Linked DNA regions of Pelodiscus sinensis. The protein of the gene in region 1 purifies or fractionates together with the protein of each later gene. This does not show direct contact. Links are inferred from orthologs where the notes say so. Each region holds a gene or a part of one and is shown in the gene's direction. Other genes may lie near its edges. The genes, in order: DCAF1 and COPS4.

The links.
Region 2: the proteins of DCAF1 (region 1) and COPS4 purify together in Homo sapiens (affinity purification with mass spectrometry; 4 studies listed by BioGRID, with this or other methods). This does not show direct contact. The link is inferred for Pelodiscus sinensis from reciprocal best matches to the Homo sapiens genes DCAF1 and COPS4.

Annotation. Positions count from the first base shown.
Region 1 is NC_134721.1:43,462,243-43,473,671, reverse strand, and holds the start of DCAF1 (DDB1- and CUL4-associated factor 1), read left to right. Parts: upstream 1-6,018; 5' UTR 6,019-8,188; intron 8,189-10,018; exon of another isoform or gene 10,019-10,097; intron 10,098-10,945; exon of another isoform or gene 10,946-11,094; intron 11,095-11,429. UniProt on the Homo sapiens protein: Acts both as a substrate recognition component of E3 ubiquitin-protein ligase complexes and as an atypical serine/threonine-protein kinase, playing key roles in various processes such as cell cycle, telomerase regulation and histone modification.
Region 2 is NC_134715.1:11,683,457-11,695,622, forward strand, and holds the start of COPS4 (COP9 signalosome complex subunit 4), read left to right. Parts: upstream 1-6,156; 5' UTR 6,157-6,294; intron 6,295-8,182; 5' UTR 8,183-8,722; coding exon 8,723-8,796; intron 8,797-9,759; coding exon 9,760-9,839; intron 9,840-12,166. UniProt on the Homo sapiens protein: Component of the COP9 signalosome complex (CSN), a complex involved in various cellular and developmental processes.

The DNA of each region.
Region 1 (11,429 bases):
AACCTATCACCCACACAATATAATAAACAGAAGAGGCCGCAAAGAGACTTAGAGCAAATGTGTGTGTCCTGGTACACATGGTATCCTGAGGCACTAATAGAACTCATCTGGTACAGCGCTTGTGACCTCATAAGACCAGCTGATCCATTATGAAGTCTGCAGTGACCAGGTATATTTCAGCCTGAAACTGATCACCTTGGGCTCAAGTCCTATATTTCAGGAGAAACTGGATTAGGGGGACTAGCACTTGGATGGGAGACCTCTGTGAAGACCCCATGTGCTGCAGGAGATGATATTTGGGGCAGTCTTCCTTGTAAATCAGTGCTGAAGGAGGGCATTCTAGCAGAACAGTAGGAGATGCTAGTGGTGGAGGTTAAGATCCCCTGGCATATTTCACGGTGGAAGGGATAATTGGAGAGTTGTCCTGGGCAAGTTCCAGTATAGGTGATTGCAGTTGCCTTCATAACACCCATCTGCAGCTTCTTCTTTTCTAGCTCATTTACCTGGCATTGCTTGGGTCCTTAAGGAGGGGCTCCAGGCAGGTGGCTGGGTGTGAGTGTGTGTGTGGTGGGAGGAGGGGCTGAAGCCCTTCTCCCCCACTCCAAGATGCATACCAGAGCCGATTGCTCTTGCTCCTGGACAGGAAGGGGAAGAGCAAAGTGCTTAGCTTGTCTGCCCCCTGCAATCACCCAGCCAGAAGTGAGGAATGCAGAAAACGGTGCACTCCCCCTTGCTTCCTGACAAAAGGGAACAGCCAGAAATGTCCCCACATGAATGGGGGGGGGGGGGGAGGGAGGTAGGAGAGAGAGCTTCAGCCTGTGAGGTGAGAACCTCAGGTCCGGAGCAGTCTCAGATGCAGGGAGGGCAGAGGGGGGCACTCCTCAGCCAGCACCTTTCCCCTGCCTGGTGATTCTCTCTGCTCCTCAGACCGAACAGAAATCCCATTCCAGGCCTATCCCATTTTCCTGGCACAACCCAATCCTCATTAGAGCTTAAAGCAAGGCAAGAGGAAGCTGCATACCAAGTTTGGTGACCCTAGTTCTTCCCGTTTAGGAGTTGTTCTTGGACAAACTCAAACACGTAGTTCTTACACAATTGCTGCATGCTGCTAAACCACTGCAAAGTTTCATCCTAGCGGCAACTAACTTAACTTCACTGGAGCTCTCTTATCCCTACTGCCTCAGCTGGGGGCAGCGTAAGATATCGGATTGGAATTTGCTTTGAGATCTAAAGCTAATGCCAATTAAATATTATTTGCAAATCCTTTAAGGACCTACATGTGAAAAGTCTGAATTACTAAGGCCTCTCCAGCCTTAATTCCTGTTTCTCTTTCAGTCTCGTCATCAGGTACAGTACAGGTTACCATTTAACCTTCCCCCAAAGGTGAAGTGTCCTTGGAGCTATTTAGAATTCAAAAGTGTATGTGCACTCCGGCACCTGTAAGTACTATGCCCTAGTTTCATTAATCTGTGCATTGTTTTCACAAACGTCAAAACTGACACATCCAGGCAATCGACCCGGTTAAGGAAGACCCACAGGGTGCAGAAATTAGGTACGAGCGCAGATCCAAAATACCCCCCCCAAAAAAACACGGATGGTGTCTTCTCAGATATTTAATTTCTTGAGAACTCTAAGAAGGCTGCACCACCTTAAAAGCCACATACTACTGCCTCCCCCCTTTTTTTTTTAAAATAAAGCTGGTGTGCTCAGAGTCAACCCCATTTGAGTTGGAATGGAACTAGAAGCTCAGCTCATGTCCAGGGTCCAGATCCAGAATTAGGGCCCAGCAGGGTCAGATGAACTTGTCTGCAAGCCCTACACTCTGGGACAGGACCCAGAAGAGGTGTGTGTGGGAGGGGGTGAGAGTGCTGACTGAGTGTGTGGGCTCTGGGGGTGCAGAAGGAGGCTCCAGGCTGAAGCCAAGGGATTTGGACTGCAGAAGAGGGCTCCAGACGGGAGGTTGGGGTGAGGTTGCACAGTCTGGGCAGGAGTTAGGGTGCTGGAATGTGCTCAGGGCTAGGGTTCAGGGTTGGTTATGGGGTCTAGGGGGAGATAGGGCTGGCTGTGCTGAGCCACCTGATTTCACATCCTCAGGCCCTGTACCCAGAATCCCTTGTTGCACCCTATCTTGCACTCCCCTGCAAGCTCCGCCCCCGCACACAGCTCCCATTGGCAATGGGAGCTGCGGGGCAGAACCCACTGACAGAGGCAGCACAGGGATGTGGTGTCCCCTTGGCGCTCACTGCTATGTGGCTCCAGCCCATTGGAGGGCAGGGAGGAGGGAAGGACAGCAGGCAGGAGAATCTGGGGCCTTGAACTGCTCCCGTTCCTAGGTCTGTCGCCTCTGCCTGGTGTCTGTCCCCTCCTCCCCCCCGTCTTCTACTGCTGTTTGTTTTGTACAGCTGTCCCTGTTAACGTACCAAAGGACTGGTTGGCATGTTTCTTACTGAGAAGGTTCAGTTAGTTTCCTTCTTGCTCCTCACACTAAAATGGCATGATCCTGGTGAACCTGCTTGTGATTGGACTGGTCACACCCGTCATTCAGATAGTCAGCTGGTGTGCAGGAATTGTCCCAGGATTGCTAGTCACTCCAGCATGTAAGGAATTTGGAGCAGGCTCTGTGTCGCCTACAATGTGTACAGCTGTATTTAGGCAGGTGCAGGGTATCCCTACCCACTGCTGCCCAAACCCAGGGCCCTTTCCAGACACCTCGGTCCAATCGAAAGCATACAAAGGCAGGTTAAATACACTGAGGACAAACTGGCTGGCTTCACAGGCTTCTGGTGGCCTGAATCTGGTCCATTAAGCAATGTCCGAAACTCAGTGCCTGAAAACTAAGTACTGTGCATGGGAAATTGGTATAGAGGGAGGGCCGACACTCCCTGTAAACCCCCTTTGGGATGGGAGGGACTGGCGGAGGAGTATCCCTGACAGATAGTGACTGCTCTGCTATTGCCAGTTTCCAACAATACTTAGGTGGTTCTCCACTGTGGCTGCTCCAGAAGCGGGTGGCAGGTCGAGCTAGACAGCGCCAGAGTGGGGCTGAGTGTTTCCATTGCAGTGTACACGCAACACGGCAACCAGGAGTATCCGGCATGCATAAGAACGGGGAAAGGGTCTCAGGGCTGCACCATTGGCTGGACTGGGGTAGAGGCAGAGTGACTGCTGCTAGGTCATTCAAAGAAAAGCCTCTGGCTTTCCCAAGAGCAATGCCTCCTATTTCCTAACAAAGAGGCAGATTTGTTCAGTCCGTCTATAGCACCAAAAACTGCTAAATTACTGTAGATCCTTTAGGTTGCAAGATAGGATCAGAGTTTAGTCTCTATAGCTCAGCTCCTGCTCTTGTATCCTTCCATAAAGCATCAGCAGTTAAAGACATGAGTGCTCTACTCTGTGGTAGAGTGGGGGGACAGGTCCAAGTGCTAATAGGAGACTGAACTTCTCGCTGGTTCCTCTCACTGGACGTGGGGTTACACTGCAGGGGTCAGTATCCACCGATTCAGTAACTATCGCTACAGCCTCCCTTAACACAAATCGATAATTAACAAAAACACCCCCCCACAACACAACACAACACTGTCTACATGCTCCTGCAGTCAGTTAATAAAGCCCTATGGAAGGGCAGACTCACCTCGAAAGCACTTTCTCCTAGCCAGGCATGCCATAGCAGGCTGTCCTTCCCAGTGCCACCTGCTGACAGTCACTCCAGTCCAGACCTACCGCAGTTCAGGTCTCCTTGTAAGCCCTGGCCCAGTCATGTTTATTCCTGCCTTTTCTCTGGTACATCACACCCAAACCCACATGACAATGCCTAGTCCCGTCACCCTCTCTGCTCAGGCGTGAAGATAGACAGGCCTTCCCGGAGGGGCTTCACATTTGACCATTCAAACAAACTCCCACCCCTTTACCAAGTGGGCAGGCTCCCCCCCCCCCACAAGAACCCTTTCTCTCCTGCCGTTTTCAGACTCCCTCATCCACAGCTCCATTTTTAACCCTCATTTGGGTCCCCTGCAGTGAAAATCACCATCTTCTGGAAGCTTCACCTTTTAACTGCCCATTACAAGGATTGTTTCCATATTGCCAGTGGCCTTCCCTGACACCCTCAGCTTCCTAGATTTCCTGTGCAAATCCTGTATCTTCCTTCCCCCAGATATCATGCTGGGATTCTCAGAAGCTCTCCCCTATTTCTATTTCACAGCAGAGTCTCTAGATCTCCCAGGCACTATTCAACTTTCCACCACCCCTCAGCTGGTTTTCTTCCCAGATTTCTCTTCCAGGGCCTTGTGCTTCTTCCTTTATGCAGGCCCAGCTTTTCCCCAGCTGGGACTGATCTCCAGTTAGCCTGCCACCCTCTGCAGGCATCTGCAGCTGGTCTAAGTGGGCTCAGGTTCCTGTTAACCCCTGCTTAATCAACGTGGGGATTTATACACCTCGTCACAGAGCACAAATGGAGATGTGGAGGGTGGAGTTTAGGGTGAGGTTTCCACCTTCACAAGGGATTATCACACACCTGCATAAAGTCTCTCTGCAGCTGGGTGGCTTTCTGAAGACATGATCCGTTCTTGTTCTTAAAACAGGCCCTTTTGGATGGCTTGCTCAGGCCCGAAGGCGGAACCTGTGTTTGCCGCTGTTAATGTTTGTGAGTTGCGAGAAAGGTATTTGTCAGAACACGAGCATTGCCAATAATATTCTGGATGTTCTTTGGAAACAGAGCCAGAGTCAGCATCCTTGTGGGGTCCCTTTAGATCGGGGTCACAATGCAATTTACCTTAGGGTCAGTGCCCATCCCCAAATCCTCCTTGTGGGCCAGCGGGAACCCCGCTCTGACAGAGCTCCCCTATCTCAGCGGGGCTGGAACGGCTTCCGGCTGCCAGCTCTGTGCCACTGCCGGCATGTCCCTGCGGCCTGGGGGACACGTGTGCAGAGCTAACCTGTGTGCTTTGGGGGGTCCCGTGCCAGTTGCCCCAACCATTCTATGGACAGGAGGGTCCTCCCTTTTCAGCTTAGCCTGCGCATCCTTGGGCAGGCTGGGGCAGGAAACAGAGTCACCCCCCCACACTCACCGCGTCACCGGCAGTCTCAGGGAAGCGGAGCTACACAGCAGCCTGCTCCACTCCACTGTCATCTCCCAAGCAGCCCACACTGGAGCAGGGAGTAGCAGAGCGATTGGGCTGGCCTGGGAGATGAGGGTGGAGCAGAGGCTGCTGAGTTGCTCTGCTTCCCTGTGGCTCCCACCACCACAGCGAGTGTGGGGAGGCCTGACACCTACTACTGCCCTGTGCCAGGCCCCTCAAGGATGGGGTGCAGTGGGGGGGGGGGGAGGTGGAGCAGGGCTGGGAAGAGGCAGGATGGGAGCAGAGCAAAGGCTGGATTTGGGGGAAGGGTACAGATACCCCTCCCTCCTCCAAGGCCACAGGGACTCAGCGTGCCAGCAGCCATGCAAGGGCTGGATTGTGGAACTGCTTGGGCCACAGATGCCTCCTGGGCCGTGAGTCTGAGACCCTTGATTTAGCTGCTCCTCCTTTTCCATGAGTCTTTGGAACTTTTCAATGCTGGAACTGCTGGTCCTAATGAAGTGTGCTGCGGCGTGCTTGGGGAAGTGTATCCATGCCAGACATGGATCTTATGCATCCATCCCACTGGCTCTTTTATCTCTGCCTCTTACTTGCATTGACTTTTTTCTGCTCTCACATCTGACTGTGCATAGTCAGGACAGACAAGGTGTGTTTTGAACTGATCTAGCAAAAGAATTAATTCAAATAGTTCCGCACCAGCCTCTTACCACCTATGAACAGCAATTTCATGGCATTTCACCAGTTCTTGCATTCTCTGTCCTGCAGCAACTGAAGAGTTCAGCCTTGAGTCTGTATTTTTGCTGGGAGCATTCATGCCTAGCCCCAGTAGATCTATGGTAGGGGCCTGTGCACCCAAGGAGGAAGGAAAGGGTTAATGCAGACATTGGGAAACAGGAAGTGCTTCAGCTGAAGTTGATGACAGTGCTTATATCCTCAGAAGGGAGCTGGCTGGCTGGAAGAAAAATAGTCTCCCTGAGAGTTTGGAGGAAGGAGGCTGAGCCGAGACAAGCCAACCAGGGCTGTTTAGAACTATCCACTAGCTATCAAGAGAGAAGCGTTCCTATCAGAAGCTGGGTAAAGTAAGCTGGCTGTGGAGCTGTGTTACTATGTGAGCTTGGCCTGAAGCAATAGCAAAGGAAACTTTTGTAACAACTGGACCTGGCTTCACTTAGGAGGGGCTAATTCAGACTCTTAAAGGACTAGTATTGCTGGAATGAACAACTGTGCTATCAGAGCTCTCGCTGCTGGTCCAAGAAGTGGAGCTGCCTGGTTGTGAATCCCTGTAAAGTGTTGCCCTAAAGGTGAAATGTAAGACCCAGTATACACTCCCTGGCCAGGAAACAAACTGGTGCCCGAGAAAGACAAGGATTGATGTGACCCACAGGAATGGATACAAGCTGCCATTTTGCAGCAGAAGTTGCTGGTTCAACAGAACCAGCAGGAGCCGCAGCTGCTGGCGATAGCTAGTCCTGTTGATGAATCCGGTCGTCTTATTCAACCCAAATGCATCAAGCCGGGTGGTCTCCATGGCACCAGGCCTTTTGTTAATTAAGATGTGACCAGTCGATGACCCAGAAGCCTTCCTAGAGGTTTGTGAACGAGTGGCCATAGGTACTTGTAGGACCTCCAGTCTGAAGGTTTCTGCTCTGCATCAGCCCTGTCTGAACCTCAAGCTAGGGGCATGTGAAACTGGACTCGCAGCAAGTGAGAGCTGTCGTTCTCCTTCCATTCAGCCTCTTCTGTTTTGGGGGACATGTCTCCGGTTGACTCTTCTATTCCAACATTTGCCTTCTCTATTGCAATAAGGGAAGAGCAAGGTGGTTGCAACCCTGGATGTGCATATTTACGACACATACAGATCCACGTTCTTCTGCGGGTTGAAATGCTATGATTTAGCAATCTCAGAGACTTCAGTTCCAGGAGGAGAGCGACCCGACTGGGAGAAGGCCCAAAGTCATCGTTATGGTCTGGCGAGAAATAGTTAACGCTCGATTCAGTCTGCCCCTCCAGTGGGACCGATAGTTTTGGAGCAATCAATGCACCTGTTGCCTCTTGGAGCGGAAGAATGGGTGTGCTCGCATCAGGCTGAGACTGAACCATAACATTTCTCTGAAGCAGAGCTGGCAGTGGAGCAGTGGTAGCTCAGTTTAGCTATAATCTGGGCCTGCTCTAGCCTGAGGTAAAACTGAAGGGACAAGTTACAGAGAGAGAGAAAACCCCTCCACTCTGTCTCCAAAGGACTTAAAATGTTCCAGTAGCTTTCAGCTTAGTCCCTTGCTATGCAGTGAGGAAACCTAAGCAGGGTTGGAAGCAATCTTACCCTGTTGGCAACTCTGAGAGGATGAAGCACTGGAGAATTTGCATTTCCACTGCTGGAAAGAGAGGTGCCCCCTGCTACAGAAGATGCCCGCCAGTGGAATGGAAGCATCACTTTGCGAGATGGATCACAGGACAGGTCGGGATGGGAATCTCTCCTTTTCTTTCTCCCAACTGGATTCTCGTGCAAGCTAAAGAATCTAAGCACTGTTGGATTCTGCCTGCAGCTAGACTGTCATGAAAAGGACTTAATCCCATTGGCCCTAACCCCCTCAAGAATTGAATCCCACCTATGGGACACTTGAGGGAAGGTGGAAAAACCATCCCTTTTTGAAAGTCTGTCAATATGGCACCTATAGCCCAGGATAGGAAAATGACATATCTTGTTCATCCTCAAGGACTACTGCTGGAGGTGGCCGAGGATCCAGAGGAAATGGAAGACTGCTCTCATAAAACCTTCCTGACATCACGTCCCCTTACAAGATGAAGAGTCCTTCCCAGCAGAGGTTTGGCCCTACAAAACTAGAGAAGGTGGTCGGAAGGGAGGTGCACTTGCGTAGAGAAAACGGGGAGTTGTGTGACTAAACAGAAGAACAGTGGGAACTAAGATGGGACTGGACTACAGGGAACGAGTCACTTGAGCATTGCTCTGTTCTGCTCATTCTCTCTGAAGCATCTGGCACTGTCAGAAGACCGGATCCTAGATGGACCCCGTATGGCCGTTCTTATATCCTTAACAAACCCGCAGAGGAAGAATGAATGTCCATGCTTCACATCCGTGAAAGTGAAGTGCAGAGGTAAACTCAGTCTGGGAAGGTTGGTGGGTTTATCCAATAGTATTCTAGAACAGAGGGAAGAGGATTCCTTCTGCCCCCTTTGAGTTGCACATAGCTGTTACAGAAACAGTCTGATTTTGCTTTCTACATTTTGTGCTAAGAACAGCCTATTATACAGGATGATGAAGGGAACATCCAGGGCCCAGGAGAACTTAATCTACCTTGTAAACATAGTACCTTGAATTAGCAGTCTCCTCCAAGGAGAAGAGACAACCGAGGTGGAAGAATACCTCTTCCCAGAGCGAAAGAAACTGGATCTAGACTTGATAGCTCAATTTTGTTATGCCCTGTTTGATCCAGTTGACACAGACCAAGTTGGTCTGACATGGATCCAGAACTAAGTGGTGTGACAATGGCCACACACCAGTACTGGCTTTGATGGGTGCAGCAGTGAAAAATAATTAGAAGATGAATGTGGGTTTAACTGAGGAATTGCATAGTAAAGCCCCCCCCCCAATTGTCCGGGTCTAGAAGCAAAATCGCATGAATCCACTTACCATTTGCTCTTAGATATATGCACTTCCTAAGAGGATATATACATGCCTACTCCATGCCATGAATGGACATGTGATGAAAAGATGCTGGCAAATCCTGCACACTAAGTTGTTACAGCAGCCCGACTCTGTCCCCTACTCTAAGCCCTAGCTCATGTTCCCTCCCTGAGATTAAATAAACTTGTCCAAGTAATTTGTGCAAGGACAGAGCCAGAACTGGAGCAGGTCAGTCTCCCTTTTTGCTCTGTGCCTGGTGAAAAGCTGCCCTGTGGCCTAAGCAAACTGCTTTGAATGCTAGAAAGAAGCTGGAGCTGGGAAGAGAGATTGACCAGTATTCATCAATATTGCACTTCATGGTCGTGGAGCAAAACAAGAAGGGAAAGAAATTATTGGGTTGAATAAAAGGAAGCTCAAAAATAAACAAATGCCACGAGTTAAGGAACAGACGAGACTAAAGTGTAATGGTGACAATGAGAGGTTGTTTTATCTGCATGATATATTCACCCATGGCGTGGTAAAGTACTGGACCCGTCATCCCTACCCCAAATTCCTAGACTGGACTTTGGTACAAGTAAAGACTGTCTCAGATATTCCATCCCAAGCTTTATGGTGAATAGTGTTTTGGAGTGTACTCTGCTATGTGGCTCTTCATATATTACAATCTGAGTGCACAGTTTTAACTACTTAACTTTTGAGAGATTAGGAACATGAGATGACTTGCTGTAGTGCCATCTATGAAAGGAGTACCAACCATCTTGGAAGGAATGTACCTGCTGATCTGTTTGTCAGTGCTTCTGTACCACCCTACTACAATATAGCAGTGGTCCCCAACGCGGTGTCCGTGGGTGCCATGGCATTTATGTGCACCCGCCTAGTGACCAGGGCCGGCCCAAGCCATTCTTGCGCTCCAGGCGTATGCGCGGCTCCCGTCCCAGGTGCGCGGCGCATGTACGGGCCCCGCCCATGGGCACCCGGAAGCCCCAAAAGGTTGGGGACCACTGATATAGTTGTAACAACTCAGAGCAGATGTGTCCTTGCACACTCACCTGGCTGATTGGAGCCAACTTATCCCCGGAGTAACTCCTATGTGATCAGTGATGGAGCAGGTGCCATTGAAAAGTAATATGGTTATAGTAGTCCCAATAATTAAAACTTATATATTATGCTTGACACCTGGCTACATCCACAAGCATGCAGTCAGGCTGTTATCCTGCAGTCCCATTGTTGGTAACCGCAGGCTGGGTAGGTAAAATTTGGAAAGAAAAGCAATTCTTATTTATGTTTTATTTTCATGCAGGTGGTTCTCACACAGCTATTGAGAAATTTGCACGAAAAACTGGCCTGTACCCTAAAAAGTCTGTGTTGGCATTTAGCAGGTAAAGAAGCTGGCTGTTCTTCTGCAGGGAATGCCCAACCTAAGCCTTTCTTGGTAACTTTCCAGGGGCTGGAGGCTACACCCGACTTATGTAAAATGGGTCAGTTCGCAGCTGCTCTCGTCTTGTCTGTAATAGGGGTGTGTGTCTTGGCATGCAGGTCTCCATTTTCAGTACTGGAACTTCTAGTTGACAAAACAAACCAGTCCTCCCTTCCCCAAGCTGCTGTACTGGTTGTAGTACTCATTCTGGGCTTTGGGCTGTTCATAGGTCCCTTGTGTCTTCTGGGGGTGGAAAAGGGAAGGGAGGGGAAGAGAGTGGTGGTGAGGTGGGGGCAGGGGGAGGTTGGCAGCTGGGAGGCTGTTGCATGGTTTGTGGGGTGTAGGGATCTCTGGTTGCATGGTATCTGTGTTGTCTCTTGCCCTGGCTTGAATTCCTGTCTCACCCCTTCCTGCTTGGCCTGTATGTGTGTGTGTGTGTGTGTGTGGGGGGGGGGGTATCTACATGTAGCTTTTTAAGTGCGAACTCCTGCCTGGGGGGGCGGGTTGAGACTACTGGGGACAGAGCTGGGATCCCATTCAGGCCAGGTCCAGTTTGGAGGGGGCAGCGTAGAGGCCGGGGCTGGGCACAGGAGGAGGAGGCCGGTGCCATATCGGTTTGCAAGTGGCGTGGGGCAGCGGCTCCTGCGCCCCTGCTCTGCACGCAATGAATAGAGCCCGCAGCCACGGAGAGAACTACATCTCCCAGCCTGCCCCGCGTCTCTTAACCCCCCTCCCCGGCGGTGGAGCAGGAGCGCATGCGCGCTGGAGCCGTTCGCCCCCGAACTCCGTTTCCCTAGAGGCCGAGCGCGAGCTTCTCCCCTTCGCGCGCCGTGACGGCGCCGCAGCGCGATGACGCGGAAAGTGTGTGCCCGCCATAGCAATCGCCGCCGCCGCGCTGCGTGCGGGGCCGAGCGCGGGGGCCGGGAGCAGCGGCGGGGACCCAGCGGGACGTCGGGCAGGTACCGCGGGCAGCGGGCGGGGTTCGGCTTCCCCCGCGCGCGGCGCCGCCGGGGCTCCCCTGCTCCCCGCCGGGGGGCGCCACAGGCAGGCGGGGTCTCGCGTGTCGCCTCAGCAGCGGGACGCCCCCCCCCCCCCCGTCGGGCTTCCCCCTGCGCCGCCCCCCCCCCGGGGAGAGCAGGGCCCACGGGGGGCGGGGCGATGCTTCACCTCAGCGGGGTACGAGTGGGGTGTCCTGGCCCCATGCGCTCGGCCTGGCCAGCTGCGGGGCTGCCGGCGCTTCACCCTCCACCCCCCGCCCCCCGGTGCCTTCCTTCCCCGGGAGTGCGCGGCAGGG
Region 2 (12,166 bases), on another chromosome or scaffold:
CAGAATCTCTGACATACCTTGGAAGGATGACTGTAACACAGCTAAGTATCACCTACACAAGCAAAACGAATTTATGCTACAACATATTTACAGAGTTAGGAATCATGACAACATGACCAGATCTTGGCGAAAAATGCCTTTACAGAAAAAATGCCATGAAATCTCTAATATTATGGGACCAATACAGGTAACATGGCACATATGTGCCACCTGTATTGGTCCCATAATATTAGAGATTTAAAAAAATATATCATTCATGTTGTCTCTATGCTTTCTGTACAAAATGGATTCAATATTTTTATGTTTATTGGCAATTTCTATTGAGCTAACACAAACTGGTTTTTAGTCACTCCAGGTTTATAACCTTGAAGGTTACTTTGTAACATTAACATCTACTCAAACTATGCACAGGGATATTATTTCAGAACGGTGATGCGTCAACAATTTTTTTTTAAAGGAGAAATACTGATGATACACATAGTGTGGTGCAATACTACTATTTCATTGGCCTGTATTTCACTACACCTGTCCAAAGGTAACGAGGATGCACATTGCAAACTAGTGCTTGGCTAGAACTTTAAAGACAAACTGCCCTGTATACATATTTGATGACCATGGCAAACGAGTAGCCACAGTTCATAAAAAGGTTGGAGTCTTTATCACAGCCTATGCCTGAGGAATATCAATCTCATCACCTGCATGAGAAAGCAAGTTTCCCCCCCTTTCTTAAAGCCATAATGTGCCAAGTCCTATAAGAGAGGCCGCGCCCTTTATCCCTTACAGATATATCTAAAAGCTGGCAGGCTGAGCCCTCTCTTTGCCCCTCACTTCTCCCTGCACAAAGCCGCCTGTTGTGCAGATGACACACGGAGCAATGTGCGGGGCCCCTCGCACGTCACTGCCCAGCGCAAGCCGAGCGAAGTCCTGGCAAGGCCCCAGCAGCCGCTCCCAGGGCTCTCCCCGCGGCTCGGCCCGCGCAGGGGGCCCCGCCGCTACCCCGGCCCAGCGCGAGGGTCTCACCGCTCAGGCGAAGCCGCGGCGGGGTCGGCGCCAGGATGCCGGGCGGGGAGGCCGGTCCCAGAGCCAGAGGGGCCGGGCGGCCTCTGGCAGCGGCGGGCGGGGGCGGGGGGCGCCGCCGGGGCGGCTTGGCTGCCGACGCTGGTATGTCAGGGGCCGGGGTTGGATTTCGAAAGATCCGCCATTTTCACCTCGTCATCACCATCGCAGCCCAGCCCGGCACCCAGCGCAGCCCCCGCCCCCGCCGCCGGGCCCCGCCCCCGCCGGGCCGCTGCGCCGCCACCGCCCGGCCCGGCCCCCTGCGCCTGGCGGGGCTGGTTCGCCCGCCTCGGGCACTCCCTCCCCCCCCCCGCTCCCTGTCTCCCACACACTCCCCTCTCTGCCCCCCCACTGCTCCCTGTCTCCCACACTTCCCCCTCTGTCCCCCCACTGCCCCCTGTCTCCCACACACTCCCCTCTCTGCCCCCCCACTGCTCCCTGTCTCCCACACTTCCCCCTCTGTCCCCCCACTGCCCCCTGTCTCCCCCACTCTCCCCTCTCTGCCCCCCCACTGCTCCGTCTCCCACACTGCCCCCCCACTGCTCCCTGTCTCCCACACTTCCCCCTCTGTCCCCCCACTGCCCCCTGTCTCCCCCACTCTCCCCTCTCTGCCCCCCCACTGCTCCCTGTCTCCCACACACTCCCCTCTCTGCCCCCCCACTGCTCCCTGTCTCCCACACACTCCCCTCTCTGCCCCCCCACTGCTCCCTGTCTCCCCCACTGTCCCCCCACTGCTCCCTGTCTCCCCGTCTCCCACACACTCCCCTCTCTGCCCCCCCCACTGCTCCCTGTCTCCCACACACTCCCCTCTCTGCTCTGTCTCCCACACTGCAACCCATCTGCCCCTCCACTGCTCTGTCTCCCCTGTCTGCCCCCCCACTGCTCCGTCTCCCACACACTCCCCTCTCTGCTCCGTCTCCCACACTGCCCCCCGTCTGCCCGTCCTCCCCACCCCCCATATTCCGCCATCTGCCCTTCCTCTCCACCCCCCACACACTCCCCTCTGTCTACCCCCTCCCCGCCCCACACTCCCCTGTCTGCCTCCCCCCACCATCTGCTCCTCCTTCCCATCCCCACACACTCTCCTCTGCCCCTCCTCTCCGCCCCACATGCTCCAGTCTTCCCTTCCTCTAGGCCCCACCCTCATCCCCTCCCTCCCCACACTCCCCCATCTGCCCCTTCACCCCACCCCACACGCTGCCCTCTGTCTGCTCCCCACTGCCTGTCTGCCCCTCCTCTCCGCCTCACACCTCCCTGTCTGCCTCCCACCCTGTCTGCCCTCCACTCCGCCCTATGCATCCCTCAACTTCCTCACCAACTCCCCTACACACTCCCGTCTGTCCCCCACCCCACCCCACACACTCCCATCTTCCTCACCACCCCCCACACACACTCCCCTGTCTACCTGCCCCTCCAGCCCCCCCATCTGCTCCTCTATCCCCCATACACGTCCATCTGTGTACCCCTCCAGACATATCCTGAACCTCCTTCCAGGGAGAGTAGTTCATGAGTGACAGGCACCAAGTGGGGAAAGGTAGGAGTTTTAGAAATAAAAACTGAATGGATGCTACATCTGTAACTAGTACAAAAGCAAGAACCCAACCAGTTAGAAGTGCCAACTGTGAGACAGCTACGTTCCCTGGGTAAGCAAACTTGAACCTTAACATTTTCTAGCATTGGTGAATTAGAGAACTAACCTGGTATCACCTTCGCCAACATATCAACTCGTAAGTTATGAAATAGTTAGACTACAAAGATGCCCGAAAAATAGCAGAGCTTAAGCAAAGATTGTGATACTTAGGGAAAGGGGACCTATTTTACCGCAAGTCATGTTTGTTCCAGAGTTTTTTTTCCCCATTTGAAAACTTAGATTAAAATAAGATACCAACCCAAAAGTGAAATTCTAGATGATTGTATCGAAGTAACAAGACACTGACCATTCTGACACTAGGCTACTGCACTACGTTTTTTCCATTCAACACTTCTAAAACAGTCACATGGCCATTTTGTAAAATGTATCAGAAAACAGCAATCTTAAGAAAAACATAAATATTTGCTGTATTAAAATATTTGTTAGTTAAAGCACAAAAGTATGAAAATAAAAACAAAAAAATAAATTACTCTCCAGCCAAGAATTCTAGGATCTCACATAAAGATTCTTCAAACAATTAGTCATCAACATACAAGATCCTTCAAAGTTAGAGTTTAAGCCCAGAGGGAACTACCAGATCACTTTGTCTGACCTCCTGTATATCACAGGACACCCACACACAAAACCAAGCAAACTAAATTAGACCAAAATATTACAGCCTATAGGAAACTAGAAGGTTGGTCTGAACTACAGAGTTAGTCAGCATAAAGCAGCTTACATAGATCTCACTTTGTAAGTGTCTACACTCCAACGTTGCTCCTGACGATGCATGTCACCCATTACTCCAGGAGGCATAGAGCTTGCATTGATGCATTCAGGGCAACAGTCCTGTGTAGACACTGCATTATTTACATTGCCTGGTGGCGCTCAGTCCTAGGGATGGGGGTTTCAGCTGACCACCAACAGAACCATAGACATGATTCACCACAGTAAATATCAAGGTTGCTGTATTTTGACTTAACTTTGTAAAAGGTCTCAGAATAATAGGGACTTGAGGTGTGGCACCAATGTTTAAGGCAACTGCAATGGCAGGGAACTGATTAAATGAGATATACTCTGATAATTGGGAGAAATGGCCTGCACCTCATATTGCAAGCACAAAGTAAAAAACCGTAAGGTCACTGGAAATCTGACTCAGAGGAAAATTCCTTCCCAACCAACAAATGGTGATCACTTAGACATTAGGGATGTAAATACCCAATTAAAAAGTTAACCAGTGCTACATTATGTAATTTTAATTGGTTAAATTGTCAGTCATGGAGGGGGTGGGGGAATTGTGCAGAGCTGCTGGCATCTCTAGCCTGGCTTCTTGCCTGCTGGCCTACTGTACCACAGGGCTGCTCCAGCCAGCTGGACCCACCATGGTTTAACTGGTTACCAGGTAAGCATGCTGGTAAGGCTAAGTTTAACCAGTTAAAACTTTTACATCCCAATGAGACAGTGCAAATGAGGTGACACTGGTACTGTTGCATCTGATTTCAGTTGGCCTGTATTTTCTTTTTGGGGACATGGAGGGGAGACGGCCAAAAGTCAAACATTTGGCCCTGAACTCCTTAAAAAAAGTTACAACTCACACAAAACAAAAATGCTCTCAATACTTAGGACAGGGGTAGGGAACCTTTTTTGGGTTGAGGGCCACTGACCCACAGAAAAAATCAGTTGAGGGCCACACACAAAAAACCCTCAGACTAAGAGAAAGACACTCCACACATTCTCCACGCCTGGGGGGCCCAGCCTAATATATTTTGTGTGCTGCCCCACCATGGGGCAGGGAGCTGGAGCTAGAGCGCCAGCACAAGATCCCTCATGCAAGGGGGGGTCTGAGCCTTGGGGTTGGATTCGGGCAAGCTGTGGATCTGAGGTTCCCCATCCCTGACTTAGAAGCTGTCATACCTCAAAAATGGGACACCCTTCTCCCCCCAAACACCAAACAAAGAGGCAGCTTACAAAGGAAAAGAAATATCCTCAGAACTTCAACAGAGTCAGAGAACCTCCTCTCTTCTTTAGATATGTGGGAGGATTCATCAGGTATACAAGTCACACATGAGCCCACTGCATTTACCTATGTGATTTTCAGTTATAAATTTGACCTAATTGTAGCTGTATCTTTAAAAAAAACAAAAAAACACTAGATTCATCTTCCAATATAGCATTGATATTAGTTCTACTATTCTCAATTTTGCAAAACACTACCATAATAAAGCTGACAATTTCGACATGTGGCATGCCATTTTGTACTGCAGAGATGCACATCAAGATGAACTTTTGTAATGATTCATCACACTCTATATACTGCCCTATATCTAAACATCCTTATTTATATAATGAGGCAGGCAGGGGAAGCGAAAATACTAGGCACGTTTATTTTGATTTTTTTCCCCCAAGAGATTGCTAGAATGAGGGCCCAAACTGTAAGCCCTGCTTTTCTCTCCTTTTGATCTTTGCTGAAAAAGAGCATGTCGCAGTGAGTCTCAGCTCTTGAGATCTTGAATTCCTTAACATTTTCTAGGGTTAAAGCCACATAAAGAAAGCTCCTCCTTACTATTCAATATATTACACAAATGACTTTAAAATGCCAACCCATTCGTCAGAACAGTCACACATAACCAATGATTTTATTTTTCACGCGCAGGGTCGGCTGTTTCCCTGGCTACTATGGACTGGCAGTGACAAAGGGACAAACAGTCAATACACCCACACACCGGGGCACAAGCCACAAAGGCCCACCCGCTGGCGGGGCACGGCCCCGGCGCCTGCATTGCCAAGGCAGCCGCGCAGACAGCTCAGGCCGGGGCTGCACCGGCCGGATCCCCGGTGCCCGAGGGGCGCAGCGCCAGGAGCGGCCGCGCAGGGCTGCGCCGTGGGCTGGCCGGGCCTGCGCCGCCCGCCCCGGGAGCTGCGCCCAGGCGGCGGCAGCGGGGACCGACTCCTGGCGCTGCAGCCGGGGTCCCCCTCCCCGGCCTGTCCCCGCAGCCAGGGAGCGGGTGGCCCCCAGGGATGGGGGGGGGCTGCACGGCGACGCGCTGGGCTCCCCCCTGACACCCCTTCCTGCTCCCTCCCTTCCCCCCACCCCGCTGGGCCCCCCGCGCTCACACTCACCGGGCTCGCGCTCCCCCCTCCCCCGGGCTCGCGCCGCGGCTGCCCCCTCCTCCTCCCCCTGGGCTCGCGCGCCGCTCTCAGCAGCGGCAGCACCAGGGACAGGTTCCGTGTTTGTTCAAAATCACGCGCCCAGCGCCATTCCACCGCCACATCCCATAATAATGCGCAGCGCCGCCTTGGCAACCGACATAGCGTCACCAAGCGAGCGCAGCTCCTCCCTCTCCCGCCCTTTGGGGCCGGCGCTTCCTTCCAGCCGTTTCCGGGTGCGTCATCGCATCCCGTTGGCTCGTGACCATGTCACGTGCCGCTGCACAGGCACGCAAGGGCTGGCAAGTGCGCAAGGTGAGAGGAGAAGCAGGGGTAGGTGGAGCCTTAAGGAGGAGCCCGGGTGTGCGTGTGTATGGTGCTGCGTGTGCAGCCTGCGTCTCCCACTGATCTGAAATGGTTGGGGAACAGCTGAGAGAGGCCTGGCGATAGTGATGCATTGGGTAAGCATTCCAGCCTCCTCTACTTGTAGCACCCTTCTGGGCACTGGATGCGTGCACTCTGCTATACTGCCCCATAGATAGAAACTGTTTAAGTCAAAACTTAAAACTAGAAGCACCTTAAAGACTAACAAAACATGTAGGTTGCATCTAGACTGGCATGATTTTGCAGAAATACTTTTAAAGGAAAAGTTTTTCTGTTAAAAGTATTTCAGCAAAAGCGCATCTAGATTGGCACGGATGCTTTTGCGCAAAAAGTGTTATTGCGCAAAAGCATCTGTGGCCAGTCTAGACGTGATTTTGCACAAGAAAGCCCCGATCGCCATTTTAGCTACTGGGGCTTTTTTGCGTAAAACAATTATTCCCTGTCTGCACTGGCCCTCTTGAGCAAGTATTCTTGCGCAGGGCTTTTTCCTGAGCAGGAGCATGAAAGTATTTGCGCGAGAAGCACTGATTTTGTACATTACAAAGTCAGTGCTCTTGCGCAAATTCAAGCAGCGTGTAGACAGCTGGCAAGTTTTTGTGCAAAAGTGGATGCTTTTATGCAAAATCTTGCCAGTCTAGACGCACCAATAGAGGGTGATATGAGCTTTCATGGGCAAAACCCACTTCTTCATATGACTGGAATATATCTGAAGAAGTGGGTTTTGTCACAGGAAGCTCATGATACCATCTACATGTTTTGTTAGTCTTTAAGATGCTACTAGACTATTTATTGTTTTTAAATTTTTTCCTGTTACAGACTAACTCAGCTATCCCTCTGAAGCTGCTTGGCTGTGTCTAGACTGGCCAGTTTTTCCGGAAAATCAGCCGCTTTTCTGGAAAAACTTGCCAGCTGTCTACACTGGCCACTTGAATTTCCGCAAAACCACTGATCTCATGTAAGATTGTCAGTGTTTTTGTCGAAATACTATGCTGCTCCCTTTCGGGCAAAAGTCCTTTTGCGCAAATCTTTTGTGCAAAAGGGCTGGTGTAGACGGCTCAGATTTGTTTTCGGCAAAAAAGCCCCGATCGCGAAAATGGCGATCGGGGCTTTTTTGCGGAAAAGCGCGTCTGGATTGGCACGGATGCTTTTCCGCAAAAAGTGCTTTTGCAGAAAAGTGTCCGTGGCAATCTAGACGCTCTGTTCCGAAAATGCTTTTAACGGAAAACTTTTCCGTTAAAAGCATTTCTGGAAAATCATGCCAGTCTAGACGTAGCCCTTAAGTCAAGACACTGAAAAACAGGCAGTGAGTGGTTCCAGTCTTGTTACATCTATAAAATGGGCTAACAAGTGACAGCTTCCTAAGCACTGGGCAAACCTTTCATGAAAGGTGATATGGAAGTGCAACATATGGCATTGCTTTTACCTTGAGCATACACCCTCTTGCAAGGGAAATGTATTCATTCTGTTTAGCTTCTGTACCATAGGTATCCTCCACTTATTTGTAGGGTATGAACAAACCAAGGGAATTTTCCTCACCTCTTAATTATTGGTTTTCTCTCCATTAAAACATTTATCTGCAGTGTTTGCAACTCAAATGTCAGTGTACAAAAAAATAAAAAAAAAAATTGATCTCAGTCTCTTTCCATGGTTCCAGCTGAAGCACAATCCTGAAGATAGCTGCCTGACATTTAAGTAAATAGAACACTCCTTTTGAAATATGAGCTGAGTCCACCTCTCCACTTATGAAAAGCAGCACTCTTGTATGTAGGTGCTATATTTGAAAATTTTAGTTTACATATCCGGACCTCAGTTATACACTGGTAAAATAGGAACAGTATAATTATTCATCTACTTTTAGATAAAACGCTATACACAGATTAGAAAAGGAAAATAAATACTGTAATGTCTGAAATCTTCTGATAACGTATGTACGACAGCCATGCTGTGTACACCACTGAAACACAGCCGACAAGCAACACAGTTCGGAAAGAAACAGAGCTACAAAATATTCCACTCATCAGGCTCTGGCCCTGCTTCCTTCTCTGACCCGAGAGACCGCATGGGAAGGAAAGAACTTATCATCCATCCCTCTCACTGGGGCATGAGATCCTGCATTTCCAGACCTGCCATCTGCACCAGCCAGGCGGGCAATACTGGGAATGACACCTTCCGGAGAAATAGCTCAGAGCGCCTCTCCTGGCCTTAGAGGGAGGAAGGGACTGAGGGTCCCCTCCCAGGTACAGAGTCTGCTTTCGTGTGGGGCCGGGTCAGTACGTCAACCCGCTGGCGGATCAGCCCTTCCGCATCCCAGGGAGGCAGCAACTGGCCAGCAGCGCTCGCGAGGAGGGAAGGACTCCGGGCTGGGAAGGCGTCACGTGACCCTTTTCTCAGGGGCAGGAGCCTTTCTAGCCGACGCTCCTCTATGATACAGCGGGGACGCGGCGGCGGCGGCTTCCCTCTCGTTGGCAGGGGGAGGACCGCGTCTGTCAGTTTGCGCGAGACAAGATGGCGGCCGCGGTGAGGCAGGAGCTGGCCCAGCTCATGAATTCCAGCGGCTCCCACAAGGACCTGGCGGGGAAGTGAGTGCGGGCCGGGCTGGGGGGAGGGGGCGCTCCCGGCTGAGGTGAAGGCGGTTGGCGGGTGCTTGAGGACTAGTCGGGGGTTGCAGGGTCCTGCTTCCTCCGCGAGCCGCGGCCCCTGTGCCTGGCAGGGCGGAGGCGCCCGGGTCTGTCTTGTCACTTCGTGAATGGCAGACGATTAACGGATAAAACGGATTAACGGAAAAACCTGCGCTTATTATTGGTCAATGCTGTCGACTGCACCTACCTACCCCGCCCCCCCCCTCCCCCGCTGCCTCGGGGCGGGGGGATTAACCAGACCCCCCCCCCCTCTCCATTTAATTTAACCAAGGGGCTGTAGATGCTGCAGGCTGGTGCTGAACTGTCCGTTTCAGAACAGTCGGTGTTCCCAGAGCCTTGGGCTTGAAAGACAAAAGAACCCATCTGATGCCCATTGTGTCTTTTTCTAGAGCCAGAGCAATTGTACGGAGAGAGGCGTCCGAGCTTTAAATTCCTTTTAAAAAATCACGTATTTTCTGCGCCGTTGGTATTATGCAGCAGGGTCTCTTGGGAAAAGCCCTAAAAAACACCACCAAACATATAGGCTGTGTCTACATTGGCACCCCTTTCCAGAAAAGGGATGCTAATGAGACACTTGGGAATTGCAAATCCACGGGGGATTTAAATATCCCCGGGGGATTTAAATATCCCCCGCGGCATTTGCATTTACATGGCTGCCGCTTTTTTCCGGCTCGGGGTTTTTGCCGGAGAAAAGCGCCACTGTAGACGCGATTCTCCGGAAAATAAGCCCTTTTCCGGAAGATCCCTTATTCCTACTTTCAAGCGTCTACACTGGCGCTTTTCTCCGGCAAAAACCCAGAGCCGGAAAAAAGCTGCAGCCATGTAAATGCAAATGCCACGGGGGATATTTAAATAAAAGGATATTAATTGTGATACATTTTTTAATTTTAAATCTATGGGCAGATATCGTCAGATACTGGAAAAAGCAATTCAACTGTCAGGAGTGGAACAACTAGAAGCCTTGAAAGCTTTTGTAGAAGCAAGTAAGTATGTATTTGTTGTGTTTATGCATTGTTGACTGAAGACTTGATGCATGTTGGATTACACATGCAGATAAATATAGTTCAGGCTATGTGAATTTTTGATGTGCTGTCCATATTCAATCTTGCATCTGCATCTGCTTGGAGCACCAATCATCAGTATGTTAAAATTAGAGTAACCAAGCAATTAAACAAATTAATTGCCAATAATTTTGTTGCTAAACAATAATAGTCTATCATTTATTTAAATATTTTAGATATTTTCTACATCTACAAATATATTTATTTCAATTATAATATAGAATACAAAGTGAACAGTACTCTCTTTATATTTTATTACAAATATTGCACCCTAAAATTAAAAGAAATAATATTTTTCAATTCACCTAATATAAGTAGTATAGAGCATTCTCTTTATCATAAAAGTTGAATTTACAAAAGTAGAATTAGATATAAAAAACTGCATTCAGAAATAAAACAATGTAGGCTTTAGTGTTTTACAAGTCCATTCAGTCCTGCTGTTCAGCCAGTTGCTCAGACAGTGTTACCTGAAAAATGAGAACAATTGTTCACATGCACTGTTGAATTACACTGCAAAGTTTCTTCTGTCCCTTCATGCTTCAACCACCATTCCAGAGGACATGTGTTCATGTTGATGATGAGTTCTGCTCGATAACATTCCAAACCAGAGCAGACCGACATATGTTCATTTTCATCATCATTTTCACCACCAGCAAAAGGATGGATTTTCTTTTTTGGTGGTTCAGGTTCTGTAGTTTCCATATCAGTGTTACTCTTTTAAGACTTCTGAAAGAATGCTCCTTACCTCATACCTGTCAGATTTTAGAAGGTGCTTCAGATTCTTTAAACCTTGGGTTGAGTCCTATATAGCGATGTTAAATTTTGATTACCAGCTAATTGAGTAGTCAATAGAATTTCCATCAACCTTGCAATGCTGAGTACAAAAGTGCCATCCGAATGCCTGTTTTCACTTTCAGATGACATTGTAAATAAAACACGGGCAGCTTTATCTCCTGTATAGATAAACAAACTTGTTTTGTTTTAGCCCATATCTACTAGGGATATTAGGAAGCATGTAATTTGGTAATTGTGTAGCCAATAAAAATGTCATTTACACAATAAACAGCTCTGCATTTAAAGGATTTTGAGAGCTGGCCAGCAGGCACACTGCTTAGTCCCAGATCGTGCCGGGTCCTGGCAGCTACCCCTGCTACAGTTCTGCATTGAAAGGATTTTGAGAGCCAGGGGGCTCGGTCCTGTCTCGTGTTGCAGAGCTGTAACATGTCAAGAAAACAAGCATGTCACTCCACAAGGAGGATGAGGAGGAATTTCCTCCATCTTGGGGTCCAATGGGCACACTATACATGCAAGCCCTTGCATTCAGCAACTTGGAAGTGCAGCCAGCATTTGATCCTCTAGAAACAGTGGAACACCAGTTCTGGTGCTGTGAGACAAGCACAGACTGGTGGGCCTGCATAGTGCTTCTGGTATGGCACAATCAGCAGTGGCTGCAAAACTTTTGAATGCACAAGGCCACATTCATGGAACTTTGCAAATGGCTTTCCCCTTCCTTGAAATGCAGGGACACCCAAACGAGACTACTGTAACAGTGGAGAAGTGTGTGGCAATTGCCCTGTAGAAGCTTGCAAAGCCACACAGCTACCGGATAGTTGGGAATCAATTTGGAGTGGGGAAATCTGCAGTGTTGTTATACAAATAGCCAAGGCAATCAATACCATTCTGCTAGGGAGGGTAGTGACTCTGGGAAATATGGATACCATAGTGGATGGCTTTGCTGTGATGGGGTTCCCTAACTGCAGTGGGGTGATAGACGGAATATACATCCCCATCTTGGCCCTGATCACCTTGACAAGCAGTACATAAATCACAAGGAGTACTTTTCGATGGTGCTGCAGGCGCTGGTGAATCACAAAGGCCATTTCACCAACATCAGTGTGAGATAGTTGGGTCTAGTGCATGATGCATGCATCTTTAGGAACTCGTGCCTCTTCAGAAAGAGGCGCGCTGGAACTTTTTCTCCCAGGCTGGAAAATTAGAATTGGAGACATGCAAATGCCACTAGAGATCCTTGGCGACCCAACCTACCGCTTGCTCCCATGGCTCATGAAGCCGTACATGGGCAGCCTGGACCCCAGTAAGGAGCAGCTCAACTACAGGCCTAGCAAGTGCAGAATGGCGGTTGAATGTGCTTTTGGGCATTTAAAGGGAAGGTTTAGGAGTCTACTAACTAGATTAGACCTCAGCAAACACAACATTCCCTTTGTGGTGGCAGCTGTTGTGTGCTCCGT